Tribolium castaneum: one gene and its partner. The protein of the gene in region 1 interacts with the protein of each later gene in a pairwise test. Links are inferred from orthologs where the notes say so. Each region holds a gene or a part of one and is shown in the gene's direction. Other genes may lie near its edges.

Region 1 (4,151 bases):
GTGCTTAAACGCTCAAAAACTGCAAAGTCGCTCAACATTTGTTAAATTTTACACAATAACTCAATTTTTAAATAAAAAACGGAAATAAACGCTTAAAAAATGCTAAAATAGGGTAATTTTCGACAAAATTTGGCGATTTCTTAAAAAAAAAGTTTCAGTAAACTTTTTCAAAATTGTGGCTAACATGATCATTTGAGTGGGAGGTTCGAATCCCGGTCTTGCCAAAAAAGTTTTTGCTTTTTTTTTTCGTAAAATTTAATAACAAAACACAAATTGAAATAGAAGAATAACGTAATGAATCAAGAAGTTAATTCACCTCTGCTGTTTTGTCAATATATTAAAATTTACGCTAATTTTTGTAATTCTAGTTTAGCGGTTTTCAAAATTTGGAACAATTCTAAATTTTTTGAAGCAAATCGTAAATTTTGGTTTTATTTTGGAAAAACTTCGCAAAAATTGCTTACTTTTGCCTCACTTAATGTAATAAAATATTTCGAAAATGTTAACTTAATTTTAAAGCAAAACTTAAATAAAAGCATAGTGCATTAAAAATGTGCTTAAACACTCGAACACTGCAAAAACTGCTCAAAAAATATAAAATTTTATTAAAATAACTCAATTTTTTGAATCAAAACGCCAAAATAAGGTAATTTCCGACAAAATGCAACGATTTTTGAATAAAAAGTTTCAATGAAACGTAAAAGTGGCAATTATTTTATTATATGAATTCAAATTAGTAAATTTATTTAACTTAAAAATGTGCTTAAATGCTTAAAAACAATCTAAAAATAAACTAAAATGTTCGAAAAACACAAAATAATATTTAGCAATTTCAATTCCGAAAAAAATATGTTAGTATTTGATAAATTCTCTTCAAACTGAAAATATTTTTGTTTTTATATTAAGAAATTACTTCTATCTGAATATTTTACAGCCTTATTTGGTGAAAGCAGCAAGTCAGAATCTATACTAAACTCTAACAAATAATAAATATTGGACGTTAGTTACTTTACTTACAGTAAATATTTGCGAAAAACCTTAATTACTCTTCGAACAGTTTCCAAAATGTGAAAAACATTATCAAACTCTCTTCCATTTTCGATCTTTGCTTCGTGTAATTTTACAATGTTTTCACTGCTAATAGTAGCTATATTAACCGTAATAAATCCGAGCCGAACATCAAAACAAAATAAATACAGCAATAACCTCCGATCTAAAAATACCATCTCCACCTCCAGCCTCCCCTGGATCAAACCCCTTGATCCCAGCGTCCAAATCCATAAATCACGCGAAATAAAGCCATCAGCAAGGGCTCGTGCCCCCTCCTGAAGCCCCTGTTTCAGCTGCTGTCACAACTTGGTCCCCTACTCCTGAAAAGTTGCCTTGCTTCAGCAAGCTTCAGTCTCGTGTCGACTTAAGTCCGAGCAGTGCGCGAGTGTCAAGTGCTGAGCTTTTCGTGGTAGGTGTCAAATATTTTGATAAATCGCGTCGATTTGTAGCGAATAAACAAATAGCACGACTTAGTCACAAGCCTGAAAATAGCAACTAGCACGTGGTAAAAAATCGGCTCCGATTTCTGGAATTTGATTCATGAAATCGCTTCAATGGAGTGTCTTTTCGGGCTAAAATTAGCTTTGGCACTGGTCATTCTGGGTCGTTTTCGGCTTGTTGACAGTCGTTAGAGGCAGTTAGACGCGAGGTATAATTAGATAATGGAGGCTTTTATTTGGATATCTCTATTATCAAGTAAAAGAGCGAATTACAGTTGAGTCATTGTTGGGTTCAGCAGGATTGTCAATGGTTGTACTCTTGTTTCAGATTTACAAGCTTTAAATAAATGCGTTCCTAAAGTAGATGCAGCCACAAATGAAGTTTCCGCTCACGTCCTCGATGGTCCAACTTGAGGCACCTGAATATTAGACGATTGGATTTAGCTGGAACAATGGATCTTGGTGCGTGTGAATTAGCTATTTAAATTTTATTCCGGGATTTTATTGGGACTTTTGATGGGTACTAAGAAGCTTTGTTGGGAGTGATGTGGCAATCGGACACAAGCCAAACTGTGGCTAACCCTCGTTTAATACAAGCCACACAAAAATTACGAAAGACTTACTTTCTTATCGTCACCAGAAACATTTTTAAGATTAATTACTTAATTAGTTGAGTATGTAGATTAGGAAGTATTTCATATAAACGTTAAATTTCAATATATGTCACGTACTACATTCTTTTAATTTTTCTGTGAAGTTCAAACAATCACGAATACAAGAAGGCAAAAATTAGGTATGGTTTATTTTTTTTTGAATAATCAGTTATGTTTGAGTTAATGGTTTTTGGAAAATTTGGAAATAAATTAATAATGAATGTCTCTTTGATACGAGAAACAAGCAAATCGATTGAGCAAAATTTATGTAAATCAAAAATGCATAGTTTTCCCAAAAAATTGTTCAAGAATTAAAGTCCCAAATTTTGAGAACCTCTGAACTAGAATTATAAAAATTAGGGAAAATTTTAATATTATCGTCAAAACAGCAGAGGTAAATTAACTTCTTGGTCCATTACATTATTCTTATTAAATCTTACAAAAAAAAACATTTTTTTTCTCTGCCAAGACCGGGATTCGAACCTCCTACACAAATGAACTGCTAATAAACTACCATAAGCCACACAGTGGTTCTCAACAGCTGGGTTAATACAAATTTCAGAAGAAGGTACGCACTTTTTGGAAAAATAATATGACCTAATTATGACAAATTCATGCGAAGTATTTCTAAGCTATTTCCTAACACTCTGTAGGTATTATGAAATTTAATTAACACATAAGTGTTTTTTCTGGAAAAATCACGAAAATTTTAATTCGAAAACAAAAAATAGTAAAGAGTACATAACAAAATGTTTAAAAAAAAACAAAAATAGTTATTAAAGTTTCAAGAAGTTATTCTGGGTTCATTATTTTTTGCAATTAAGGCTGTTTTCAACAAAAATCATAAAAATTGTACGGATTCATGTAAAAATGAAGCTGTGAAAAAATATATATTTTGAGAATATCTACCAAAAAAATTATTGAAATCCAAAAAAGTGATTGACGGTTTAATATTTTTTTCTCACTAAAGCCCTTTCTATTGTTTTCTATTTGAGAAAAAATCAAAAAAATTACGTAAGCCCCAAGAAGTGTCACATTACTATATTAATTATTCTTGCAGTCCAAGTTCTTTTTTTTTACTTTACTTATAAAATATTTTGAGAACCAAAAAGTTCGAAAATAAAAAATAACTCAGCTGAAATAGAGTAAATAACAAAATGTCTAAAAAAAAACAAAAACAGTTATTAAATTTTAAGATGTTATTCTGGGTTTATTATTTTTTGCAATTAAGGCTCTTTTCAACAAAAATCATAAAAATTGTACGGATTCATGTAAAAACGAAGCAGTGACAAAACATATATTTTGAGAATATCTACCAAAAAAAGTATTGAAATCCAAAAAACTAATTGTCGGTTTAATTTTTTTTTTCTAACTAGAGCTCTTTCTATTGTTTTTTACAAAAAATAATATTTCTAAAAACGAGCAAATGACAAAATTTCTTTAGAAAAACAAAACATTTAGTAAATTCCTAAGAGGTTGAGGTTCGTAAGCACTTTCGATTAGCTTTGCTTTTTGCAAAAATCAGAAAACTTGGTCGTATAATTCGCTAAAAATACTTCGTCTAAAAACGACCTAATGATAAAATATTTAAGAAAATATTAAAAAAATTACGTAAGCCCCAAGAAGTGTCACATTACTATATTAATTATTCTTGCAGTTCAAGTTCTTTTTTCTTTCTTTACTTACAAAATATTTTGGGAACCAAAAAATGTTTGTAAGCCCTAACAAGTGTTTTTTGAAAATTTATTATTTTTACAATTGAAAACTCTTTTGATAAGCTTTTCTGCAGGAATCAGAAAAATCTGAAAGAAGATTCACCAAAAATAAGACAAAATAAAAAAATATGAGAAAACAAAAAAAATATTAATATGTCAGTTGGTGTTTTCCTATTCTTTGCAGTCGAAGGCCTTTTTGAAAAGCTTTGTTTTCTGCAAAAATCAGAAAAATCTTATTGATGATTTGCTAATATAATTATTTAAATCAGTGTCTCAGATTTATTAGTGGATTA
Region 2 (3,519 bases), about 3.8 Mb from region 1:
ATAGAAATATATACCTTATTCACATAATACAAAATTGGCTCGGTTTGACGTTCAGTGTCCCAACTCTCCCAATAAAGGAACTCTAGGAACATCTACAAATTGTGTTTTTTTTTGCTGAATTTAATTTTTTTATCCAAAAAACTGTTAAACTTTGATATTAAATTTAAAAATAATTGTGTGTAAAACATAAGAGCATTAAAAAATAATCAAAATTGAGGAAGTTAACAAAAAAAGTTTGTGGTTTCAGATTTTTTTAAATTTTTTCAAGATTTTTCCCATAATGTACACATGTTTCTCAATAACGTACTATTGAGTTGGTGCGCCAGTTTTTGAGCACCCTGTAGAAATACATTTTTTATTTTTTCGTGCATTTTTAAAATAAAATTTTATTTTCTTTTATGGATGAAGATCAATTTCTTGATACTGTAAAAATTAGAAGTACATATATTTTTTTTAATTTTCAGGTGCCGGAGAACTTGTCGCTGTCGCAGCCCAAACTGAACACCATCGTAAACTTGGACTCGAAAGAGAGTCCCATCATGAGGCTGAAACAACCCCCAATGGGCACCTACTCCTTGCACAGCACACCCAGCAACTCTCCCTTGCTCAGCCAGCGGCATCCCGTGCCGATCATCGGTGGTCCCAAAGACCTCATCCACAAGGACATAATGCACAAGGCGTTAAACGTCCCTCCGACGCCAAGTCCCGACTCTGCCATCCATTCAGCGTACAGTGTGTTCAGTTCGCCAAATCAGAGCCCTTTGACGCAAAGACATATCACCTTAACGCCGAATTTGAGTCGGAACAATAGTGATGCCTCCCATTCGAGCTGTTGTAGTTATTCGAGTGTTTCGGTTTCGGTCTCGCCCACTCAACAGTTCTCACCTACTCACAGTCCTATTCAGGTCAGTGTTTTTGAAAATTATTTATCATTTTGTACAATGTGTGATTTAATTGTCGGGGACACAACTCGGTCAATCGCTGGAATGTCGTTCGCTAATTTATTGTTCGGCCCACGTTGGCTGGGATAATGTAATGTTTTAAGGTGCGATTTTACATTGCAGAAATCTTATCGATTTGATATTCACTTGAAAGTGGCTAATTAGTGCCTACGGATAAGATTGAATTATTTATTATTGGGTACCTACGTGTACGGATTTTAACTAGCGAATGGAATGATTCAATCGTGTAATTATTCGAATTGGAGTGAAGTTGAGACAAAAGTTCACGAATTAAATACTGTGTTTTGTCCGGAATGCGATTTACTATTAATTAGAATTAAAGAAAGTCATTTGGTTCAAATGCCTATTAAAAGGACAAGGCAACTACTTATCAGCGTTATGCTTGATTAATTAACCTTTACAAATTTTTATTTTTCTTAAATCAATTTTTGTATATGTACATGGTGAGTTTGCTAAACGTATTTTTCACTAAACTTTTATACCATTCCTTATAATTAAAATTAATTCAATACAAATATGAAAATATTAATTGATTCTTGCTTTGTTGTCTGTATGTCTGTTTCATATTTTCCAAGCCAAATTTGAAAGGGTTTCCGTTGTCTCAATAAATTGAAATTTTACATACTTACGTAATCTGCGTGACAATGCAATCCTATGTGGTTAAATACCCTCTAAAGGGGTTAAATGGGGTTTTGCAGTTTTAGGTTATGTTTACAAATGGGTTTTCGATGTGTACATACTGTAACTTATACCAACATTAACGGTATATTGGTCATTGGAAAATATATTAATACCTAATCATTTTCATTACGTTTCGTTACAAACAAATGTCGCTATTTTTTTAAGCTCATTTATCTTGTACGATAGAATATAGACACATAACAGAGGTTAGGATGTGCTTTCAGTGCTAATAGCTCTTTTCTATCACTTACTAACAAGTTTGCACAAATCAGCAAAATAATAGTGTTACAATTACGGCGAAACTAAATCTCAGAGAAAAATATGTTTAGAATAATAAGTAAAAACTAAAAAGCAATAAATAAAAGAATTAAAAAAGTTTTTTTAGAAAAAAGCTTTTATTTAAAAGATGTACTAAAAAGTAAAAAATAATGTTTTTTTTTTAATTTATAAAAGCTTTTGGTCCTAACAATATACAGCATTACAGAATTACTTTTTTAAATTGAGCACTGTTCCAAAAGTTTTTGTAAATTTTAAAATCCTAATTTGTAAGCAAAAATATTCTCTGATAGAAAAACATTATTTCTTTTTTAAATAAAAGCTTTTTCTAAAAAAAACATTTTTTTATTTTTTTTATTCTAAAACAAGGATGCTTAAATGATGTTTTCGTGCAACAAATTTGTAATAAAATTTGTAACCATCAGAATCACTTTGAGTTCTAGAAATAATGCAACCTGATCCCAAAATTTTCAAAATAATTTGTTGTATGTTAAGTTTTTTTCAAAATACACGATTCGGTTTTTGGTGTTTAGTGTATTTTGCGCCAAAATAGTTTTTTTTTGTTATGAATTTAAAATGGGAAAGGATAATCATTTAAACTGAAGTTATATCATGGGGTTTTAAAATTTACATAAATTGCCTCCTAGGTTATCACAAAATTCTGACGTACTAAAACTGTTGAAAAAAATTTTAACAGTGTTTTTCTAGTTTCTGGTAGTTTAAAAAATGTAAATCGGTTAGTAAATTGATTAGTAATAGTATTTATTTTTTCTCTTCGTAAATTTTGCTGTCCCGTCCGTTACTGCAAACATACAGGCTGATTCTTTTAAGGCCTACATTAAAAAAATAACTTCTATAATATAGCTAGAACTTTAAGGACCGGTTTATAGAAGCGTCATGAATTTAATTCGCAATTAAATGTGTGATTAACGGATCAGGTGACGAAATTAAGCCAATTTGATTGGTGTATTTGCGTTGTTAACTTTTAACAACGAATTAAAATTTGTTGAAGCTTTATACAGGATGCTCAAAAACTGGCGCACCAACTCAGTGGTACGTTATTGAGAAGCAAGTGCAGATTACGGGAAAAATGTTGAAAAAATTCCTAAAGTTATATTTTAAAAAATCTGGAGCTACAAACTTATTGTGTTAACTTCTTTAGTTTTCATAATTTTTTTATATTTCTATGTTTCATACCAGGTAATCGTTCCGTAGCAAAACGATGAATAATTATTTTAAATTTTACTAACAGATTTTAGCAGTTTTTTTAATTTAAAAAAATTAAAATTCATCCAAAAAATCACAATGTGTAGATGTGCCAACACTGGGAATTATTTCCTAGGAAACCGTTTCAAAAATAATTTATTTTTATTGTTGCTCAAATTCTATTGCGATCATGACTGTTAGACAACGTTGCCACATATCATTTACATAAAATTAGTTATTTATCAATAACTTTAATACAAAGAATTTTTTTACTATTTTTACCTTTATATGTAACCACTTTTCTACCACACACCATTGAGTTGGTGCGCCAGTTTTTGAGCACGCTGTATAAACCGGACCTAAGATTTTGTATACAATCTAAATCGACTATTCT

What was found. The genes of interacting proteins can lie anywhere in the genome.
Region 2: the proteins of stumps (region 1) and Hr39 interact in a two-hybrid assay, tested with the Drosophila melanogaster proteins (2 studies listed by BioGRID). The link is inferred for Tribolium castaneum from reciprocal best matches to the Drosophila melanogaster genes stumps and Hr39.

The regions. Positions count from the first base shown.
Region 1 is NC_087400.1:4,990,516-4,994,666, reverse strand, and holds the start of stumps (phosphoinositide 3-kinase adapter protein 1), read left to right. Parts: upstream 1-1,348; 5' UTR 1,349-1,459; intron 1,460-1,818; 5' UTR 1,819-1,942; coding exon 1,943-1,952; intron 1,953-4,151.
Region 2 is NC_087400.1:8,820,152-8,823,670, forward strand, and holds part of Hr39 (nuclear hormone receptor FTZ-F1 beta), read left to right. Parts: intron 1-464; coding exon 465-905; intron 906-3,519.